Linked DNA regions of Tribolium castaneum. The protein of the gene in region 2 purifies or fractionates together with the protein of the main gene of each other region. This does not show direct contact. Links are inferred from orthologs where the notes say so. Each region holds a gene or a part of one and is shown on either strand. Other genes may lie near its edges.

Region 1 (4,045 bases), on a different chromosome or scaffold from region 2:
CTTTTACGATTACGCATTGAGACCCTCACAGCCATCATACAAACACAAAAATAAACTCACCCTTAGTTTTTGGTGGGGCGGAAATTCCGTTTTTTTTACGTTTTTGTGGACTTTTAACATGGTCGTACAATTACAGCAACAACAGACAAAATAAAACAAAATAAGTAGATTTAAATGACATTTAGCCACTTTCATAAAAAACAACCCTTCAATAAATAAATCTCGTATCTCTGTTCCTAGTTGACCAAAAATTTTAAAATCAAAACCAACTTATTCTCCACTGCAAACAGTTCCCGAAACTAGAAAAAGTATTAATAAAAGTTGAAAAAAAATATAAGGGTGGGTTTTTCAAACTAATATAAACCCCATCGAGTGACCCCTCAAACTTCACCGCCTGAACTGGACATTACAAAAACACAAAAATGTGTAGGTCTTTTATGGCTCCTTAAAGAGATAGCAAAATGACTATTGAAAATTACAATTTCAACCAGACCGTCGCTTAGACTACATCAAGTTGCATCTTTTCTCTCATAGAACAAAATTGCGCCCAACGCTTAGTTTCCGAGATATTTAAAGAATTAGGTTCAAATTCAAATTTTCGCGCCTGCGTTTATTTTTAAGTTTTTTGAGCACGTTTTTCAGGAAGCAGCGTGATTTTTTAAGTTTTTCAATTTTTATCGAATTACGGCTAAACTATTCGAAAAAGTGGAACTATTTTGATCCTTACCTATGCAAAATGATCCGGGAAATCGATTGACATCGAGAAAATCGCCAAATTCCCGATAGTTTTTTAGTTATGATTTTTTTAATGTTTCCAATTTTTGCTTTTGCTTGCAATTTTCTCGAAAACTATTAGTCGGAGAACAATAATCATTTTTGAAAAAAATAGATAATCCAAAGAGCTTTCCAACGATTATAAACTTTATAGGGTTATCTCTAATAGTTCAATTAACTTTTTTGCACTTTTAAGGGACGCAAAAGGGTTTATTAAAATAAACAAAAATACAATTTATTGAACATTATTTCACATCATTTTGCACGCTTTCTGGCACAACTCTTGCAACCTTCCTGGCCTCCTTCACAAACGTCTTGGAGCACTGCATCTCCGTCCAGCTCACAGGCACCATAAGCCCCCCATGTTCCGAGTGCGCCGTCACGACCCCCAGCTCATTCTCAGCCGTGGACAACTGATAAGTGTGAGCTTCCGTGATCGGCAAAACCCTCGCCAGAATCACGTCCCCGGGCCTGAAACTCTTGTAAATCTCCACGCGGTCCTTCTCCGTCGCTCGCACGTCCTCCTTCCGCAAAATCCCGCGATACTGCCGCCCCAAAACCTTATCCCCGACACACTTAATGTAGCATTTGCAAAACTGCTGCGTGATTGTGTGAATTTGCGCTGTGACGATGTCGCCCTGTGACGGCACGAGCGTTTCCTGCCCGGAACTGCGCACTTCAATGATCTGGACGTTGTCTTTGGGGACAATGTCCACAACACCGGCAAGGGTGGCGTAGATGTAGCCCCCACGCTCGTACGTGCCTTGACCGGACACGTGCGAGGGGTCCGACAGGCACAGCCGCTGCCCCGGGAGGCACACAAGGGGCGATGACATGCCCAAAATCAACAAAAAACGAAATTTTTGATTTTTTTTGAGGTTAAGTCAAATGTCAATTGACATGAAGAAATTTCAAAAACTGCGTGTTCCTTTTACTGTCAATATTATTATCACGGCAGACGACGTTCAAAGCCAATCAAAGGCACACAAGGAGCTATAACATGCGAAAAATCAGCACAAAAACGAAATTTTTGATTTTTTTGAGGTTACGTCAAGTGTCACTGTCAATTGTCAAAAAACGAATTTGCAAAATTTTACTTTCTCATTCATTAATTAACATTAATTACCAATTACGACCATTAATTTGGCTACAGAATTAAATAAACTGGTTTATGTTATGTTTATTTAACTACTCATTACACCCTGTATATACATACAACGTAGAGATAAACCTAAAAAAATAATGCCTTACTTATTAGAATGATTTTTTGCCACCTAACCCCACTTTTTTGACAGCTGTCACCCCTCGTGTTTTGTTTTTTTTTGGGGGCTTTAGCCTGATAATGGGTGATTCCGTGGCCGAATTGTTGCAGTTTGTGCATCTGGGGGCCCGTTTGGACCTCAAATCGGTGGCTTTGGGGCACATTTTGGGTAATAGGGTTCGAGGTTAGACTTGTTTTTTGTAATTTTTTTGTAGGTTTGACGGGGAATGCGGACGGAATTGCCACATTAATCAACACACCGTCACTTCTGGTCTCCTTAATCACACTTTTGAGTGATAATAACGCCACAATTGTCAAAGACTCGGCACTTTGCCTTGTTAATGTCTCTGCTGATCACAAGGGGGCCCTGGCATTGCTTGATTTGGACACGAGTGTGGGGTGCCCCCCTTTACAGAGCCCCCCGAGTGACATTACTTCGACTGTTGTTAAATTCGTGACGGACCCCATGAGTAAAATCGCCGATTTTTCCTGCATGATTTTATCGAACTTATCTCGGGCCAATCACGATAAAGTGATTGATGCGCTTGAGAAAAGCGCAAGTTTGGACGATTTGATTGACATTTTCACGAAAAAACAGTACAATAAAGCGGGGGCTAACCTCCACTACTTGAGCCCCCTTTTTTCGAACTTGTCGCAAAGTGGGCGCGTCCGGAGACGCTTCCTGGACCGGATCCACAAACTCGTGCCTTTCATTGAATTCGAGGAGTCGGCCGTGAGGCGCGGGGGCGTCGTGGGGGCCCTGCGTAACTGCACATTTGACCCCGAGTGTCATGAGCTGCTCTTGGGCCCCCATGTCGATATCTTGCCCCGGCTGCTCCGCCCCCTGGCCGGAAACGAGGAATTTGACGACGAAGACAACGACAAGCTCCCCCTTGAACTGCAATATCTCCCGGAGGAGAAACAGCGTGAAGAAGATCCAGATATCAGGTGCATGTTACTGGAGGCTTTGACCCAGTTATGTGCCAAGAGAAAAAATCGAGAATTTATCAGAGAGAGAAACACTTATGTGATTTTGCGCGAGTTGCACAAGTGGGAAAAGGACAGAAAGGTGCTTTTAGCGTGTGAAAATTTGGTCGATATTTTGATACGCACCGAGGAGGAAATTGGAGAAGATGATTTGAAGACACTTAAAGTGCCCCAAAGTTTAAGCGAAGACTTCAATAAAGCGGATGAGCAGTTTTTAAAAGATGAATAAATTTTTTTACAATTAAATTTCGTCTTTCTATATATTTCAAAAATATATAATTTCGGACGAATTAGTTCGGGTGACAGAAGTTTCACTGTATTAACAGTTGTCACTGTTGTTCTGGCCGTTTCCATAACAATTAAATTATTTAGAAATTTTGCGCAATATTTGAGTTTTTGTTTAGAAACGGTAACTTTTCATTCATTTTTGACCAAATTTGGTGATTTTTCTGTTCTAGTTTAATAAAAACATGAAAAAAAAAACTAGATTTTTGGTCAAAAAACGTGTTTAAATTTTCAGAACTTGCAAAAAAATTTCATTTTTTGCATAATTTTTTGATTTATTACCTGATTTAAAAAAATGCGAAATAATGAAGTTTTTGCTTAGAAAAAGTAAATTATTTTTCATTTTTGACCAAATTTGGTGATTTTTTTCATTCTACTTTAATAAAAACAGGAAAAAAACTAGATTTTTGGTTTAAAAAAACGTGTTTATATTTTCAGAATTTGCAAAAAATGTTATTTTTGAATAATTTTGTGATTTATTACCCGATTTTTAAAAAAAAATTGCGAAGTAATTAAGTTTTTGCTTAGAAAAAAATAAATTTTTGGTCATTTTTGTCCAAATTTGTTGATTTTTTTCGTTCAAGTTCAATAAAAACAGGAAGAAAAAGTGAAAAATCAGAATTCAATTTTTATTAGTGACTTGCACCACGACGATCACAAAGTTGGCAACAGTGGCAAACATGCGCAAAATCGTCGGCTTGCCCAACCGGAAATAACCGGCGGTTAAAACCGGCAAAT
Region 2 (5,291 bases):
TGCTTCATAATTTTGGCCAACTTGTTCAAGCTCCTCAAGGCCTCGGCCAGAGCGTCCTGCTTGGTCTTGTCGTCAATAATCAGTTGCGCCTCTTCATAAGTCATTGCTTTCCTCGACTTAATTATACTTTTATGAAATCGCGTACTTAAAATATTGGCATTTTGGTCCATTTCCCAAATGCAAGAAAACGCGAATCTTTCCTCTCCTCCTCGTAACGAACAAAGATTTGAACTGAGCAATGCTGGCACCATATCTATTCGATTATTAACCAAATACACTGTGGTGGCTCTAGAAGCAGCTTCGCGATCTAGAGGCGTTCCAGGTCTTATAAAATGCGAAACATCGGCAATATGAACACCAACTTCAAGTTTGCCGTCAGCTAGTGGACGACAATGAAGGGCGTCGTCAATGTCGGTACAACCTGGGGGATCCACTGAGCAAATGTCAAGGTGTCTGAGATCGACTCGTTTTTTGACGTCCTATTAAAAGCGCAATGAATAACAATCAGGGAGGAAAATAAACATTACATCATCGGTTATGATCCAAGGCATTTTGGGCAAACAATTGAGAACTTCCTCAGAGAATTGGCTGTGAGGGACGTCATGTTCCAGCAAAATGACCTCGTTTTCGGTGGTTTGGTCCCCAATGTTGCCCAAAGCTCGCACAAAATGACCCTATTTAAAAAATTACAAAAAATTAATGCAAAAAGAAATTTTTTCCTGAGTAATTTTTTTTTATGCAACTTCCTTATTTTAAATGGATTAGTGGAATTATTTTAAGGCTATTTTTATCAACTTTCCCTATACCTAAGTTGAACCATTTTCAGGATATTTAAGATTTTTTGAAAATTTTTGGATTTGCATCTGTCACTTAAAAAATCGGTAACTCTCTTAGCTTTGGAGATTTCAAAATCATATTTGGAGGATTAAAAGAGAAAGCCTCTATCTGTTCTGCAGTGTATTCAAAATTGGAAAAGACGTTATTAAACCCAAAAATTTTAAAGTTTGAACAACTTCAAGTGCCCATAACTTAATTTTTTCAAATGGGATGTCCCAATTTTTATTTTATTAAATGGAAGAGAATTTTTTTCTACATCGATTTGTATTAGCATTTCCTATAGCTATCTGTGATAATTTTCAAGTTATGTTACTTTTTTTGACATTGTAGAAAATTTCTTACTAATCACAGCTGTTTTTGCATAGTTTGCCATAAAAACATTTCTGAATCAGTCAGTTTTTAATGTCTTTTAATATTAGTGTTCTAAATGTTGACTCTTATTATAGTAGAATGGAAATTACCTCTAAAATAAATAAATTTTATTACGACATTATTATTGACGCTTTCTTAACATGCTTCCAATTTTTTCTTAGACTAAGTTGTAAACTGTTGTTTTTTTATTTTATTTGTTAGTGTTTCTTTATAATCATTGTTTGTCTTTGATTTATTGTATTTTCAGCTTACCTTTAGTGGTAATTTTTTTTGAGTAAATAATTATTTATTTACTTATAACACTTACATGAGGATAGCGTGAATGTTTGGGCCAGGAATCAATCGTAACGATCAATTTCTGAGTCCTTAGAAACTCCGCTTGTCTCGTTTCTATTTTAATTTTGGGTATACTTTTATCAGCTGGAACAAACATCTGATAAACACCATCAATGCCCCCTTGTAAAATGCCACAATATTGTCTCCACTTTCTACGAATAATTCCAACAACACGTCCTGTAGGTTTAGCTCCACTTTTCTTCTTTGTCGCTTTTTGTAACTCGTTTTCTTTTGTCACAACATCGTCAACACTCTCATCACCAACCCCTTCATCCTCTAGGATTATTTCACTCGGACACACCCATTCCTCCTCTTTCAAAAGCTCAACAGCTACAGTGTCACCATCCACTGAGCGGTTAAGGCCAGCCCGACCCTGAACTATCACCTACAGAAAATAAAAACAAATAGCTTCGCTTCGAGTTTCAATATTAAAAATAATGTATTTATAAAATTGCCTTACCGGCTCTTCGTACGAATCCACATTGACAAAACCTTCCAAGAAATTATCTCGAGAGGCTCGGAAAGTCCCCTGGAGCAGCTTTCCCTCTCTTATGCCAGTCAAAAGCTCAACATTACTCAAATGGTTGGGAAAAACGTCTTTCGTAAAATCATTTCCGTGAAAATCTTTCCTCGATAATTTATCGGTAAGACCCGAAGTGTTGAGATTTTGCACATATTCCGAGACGGTGTAAGAAGGTATATCCTCTTTTTGGGCTTTAATCCGATTAGCTGAGTCGTCAGTGAGGAAAACGAATTTTTGTTTAGGGGCATGGTTTATGTACCAGGAACACGCAGCTCTAATACACCTGTCATTGTAATCATTAATTAATTCACCTTCGTTTTGTTGCAAATAAGTGCCTCTGGAAGCAATGTTTTAGGTTTGTATCAATATAATGAAAAAATGTTTTTACTGATGGTGGTCGTTTATAAAAACGTAAAAATGACGACTCGGATTTTCAATTACAGCACACAAGCGTTTGTAAATTGGTAGACTTCGGTGCTTCACCTCGTTTAAAACTGTGTGGAGGATTATCACATTACCAATGACGGACTCTTCCAAAATATCCATCTAAATTTGTAATTTAAATGCTAGTTTTATAAAAAATAAACTCGGAAAATACCTGATCAAGAACAACATTTGTGTCTAGTATTAGATAATGATTAGAAGTAAATAAAGAACATTTGTTTTCGTGGTCTGGGGACAGGAATGACTCCACTGGCAAACAAGTTTCACACTCTTGAAGACCACAAGAAATGTCATCACGAATATAATGTTCTCGAACGTGCTACAATATTAGAAAAGATGGACCCCCATGTTTATTGTCACATACTAACCTTCAGATAATTCCCAACTTTGTTCTTTTTAATAAAAGCTTTAGTCGTAAACATTGTTTAATTATTTCAAATGTTTTTTTACAAAAACATGCCGCAACAAGTTATTTGGAGGTTATATTACAATATTTTTTGTGGTTATGTTTTTGTTGACAGCTGAGGCGGGAAATATAAAAAACTGTTTTTTTATTATAAAAAATACAAAACAAAAATTCTTACATTGTTCCAGCAATTATGAATACAAAAGACCATTACCATATTACCTAGTCATGCACAACGTTTTATTAAGAAATCTAACTCCCACTGCTATATAAACATGCTAATTTATTAAAAATATGCAATAAACGTGTTCCCCATGCGACTTAATTAGTTGCAGAAGCAAAATGAAAAATTATACATCCTGTACGAGTTGCTATTGATAAGTACAGTCACCCAAAATGAAAATGACGTGTCTATAACGCCCAAGTTTTAAGAAATTCGACATTTCGTTTATCATCATTTGAAATAATTGAGGGTTTCATTTTTTGGAAAATTTAATTAATTAATAAATAAATAATAAATTATTAATAAATAATAATAATAATAATAATAATAATAATAATAATAATTATAGTAATAAAAGCTTTTATTAGAGACAAAATGTGAGGGAGCAATCTATAGTTTACACGGTTGATGCAAAATATAAATTTCAATGTGAAATTAAATTTGCTGTATAATGAACAAATTTGAACATTAATTAAAGTATTTTATGATATTTATCTTATTCTTGATAATTTTTACGAAATAATCAGAAAAATAAAAAAAAAATTTTGTTTCATTTTCAGCTCGGTTTATTTAGGTAATACATTCCAAAAAGCTTGGAAAATTTTGTAATTTTGTAATTTTGAGACGTTGTTTTGTCAAAAGATTTATGGATTTAGACGTTTTTTTTTATCAAATATTGTAAAATAAATGAGTATCTTATTCAAAAATGCACGGTAGGTGGTTGTTTATAGACGCATCATTTTCATTTTGGGTGACTGTACTTAGCTTCCCATATAAGTAAAACCACGATATTTAAAAACACAGTTTATAAAATATTTGTTTCGTTCCGGAAACAAGTCTTCCGAGGCGTTTTTCCACATTTTTATCATGTAATTTAGTTAACAAAAAATTATTCTTTTTTTTTATAAAAAAAAAATCATAAAGTAAATTCTTAGGTCGTGGAGAAACTTCTTTGCTTTGCTGTCCTAACAACAGAAAATTATTTTTTTTTTGAACTCAAGTCACTCGAACGAGCGTCTGATCAGCATTCAAAGTTTTTCTGACAAACTGATTTAAAAAATTAGTTTAATAACTTGCGGATTTTACAAAAAAAGTAAAAACCTCTCAGACTAACTTTTGTCTCAAATTTTTTGAAATTCGTTTTAATTTTTGAGTAAATGAGTTCGGAGAATCTTTGAGATGAGCTCGGAACGCAACTGTAACAATTTATCTATCACGAATCGTCTTGATATTTGGCAAAACTTAAAAATTAAAAAACAATCACATTTTTAACAGCCTTGATAACGTACTAATTACTTTGTTCGTAAAACAAACAGATTAGGTATTTGCCGAACTTTACTATTCATTTATTTTCAAAACTATTATTAACGTATAACTCATAGAAAACAATAAAACACATAGATCAAGTTTATGTAACCATATGTTGCATACATGATACTTAAGCGTACCTGTGCATTGTTTAATGTCTACAAAAGTGAATTGAAAGGTATCACGTGTCGTCCTAAGAAAGTAGCTCAAAAATTGCCTAAGATAAGCTAGTTAATACTCATAATACACTCGTAGAAGGTTACATATTTTATTTACAGTAATTTATTTAACTAGCGCCAATTGAATTCATTAAACAAAACCTATCTGCTGTGGTGTGTAGTAGCTGTGAAGAATTACAAGCGTTGTTATTAAGTTACTGTGTTGTTCCAGGTAAATAAAAGCCCTTTATTGTCATACACAAGACCTTAAAAGTGTGACATAAATTATATTAAACAAATAAAAACGTCGGAAAATTCCTGTTTGTAATAAATAACTTGTAATTATTGTTTCCAACTGAATTATGAATTTTTCCACAACATTCGAACAATTTCTAATTAGAATCCGCGTCCTGTGATATTTGAAACAGAGCGACTTACAATCAATAAGAGCGTTCTTGCGCAAGAACGCATCTGTTGCGAAATTTTTGCCCAAATGCCACCCAATCATTTTATCAAATCAGTTAGCTAGTAGTTTGGCACTAAAAAAATGAAACGCTTCAAAAAAGACCATTGTGTTGGTGAACTCTAATTAATTGAATTCTAGTATGCGATTTTTTCTACTAAAATATGGCTCTAACAGTAAATTGTTTCAGCATGTCAAGTATTTTAAAATTCATTAAATAT

The links.
Region 1: the proteins of Dis3 (region 2) and Csl4 purify together in Drosophila melanogaster (affinity purification with western blotting; 3 studies listed by BioGRID, with this or other methods). This does not show direct contact. The link is inferred for Tribolium castaneum from reciprocal best matches to the Drosophila melanogaster genes Dis3 and Csl4.

What each region holds. Positions count from the first base shown.
Region 1 is NC_087401.1:17,299,048-17,303,092, forward strand, and holds Csl4 (exosome complex component CSL4), read right to left. Parts: upstream 1,911-4,045; 5' UTR 1,824-1,910; intron 1,768-1,823; 5' UTR 1,611-1,767; coding exon 1,020-1,610; 3' UTR 964-1,019; downstream 1-963. Other genes in the region: protein HGH1 homolog, read left to right, coding at 2,117-2,204, 2,251-3,251; uncharacterized protein LOC100141651, read right to left, coding at 3,930-4,045.
Region 2 is NC_087394.1:36,185,872-36,191,162, forward strand, and holds the start of Dis3 (exosome complex exonuclease RRP44), read right to left. Parts: upstream 3,413-5,291; 5' UTR 2,935-3,412; coding exon 2,881-2,934; intron 2,832-2,880; coding exon 2,667-2,831; intron 2,615-2,666; coding exon 2,457-2,614; intron 2,406-2,456; coding exon 2,006-2,405; intron 1,931-2,005; coding exon 1,517-1,930; intron 675-1,516; coding exon 528-674; intron 480-527; coding exon 1-479. Other genes in the region: mpv17-like protein, read left to right, coding at 5,262-5,291.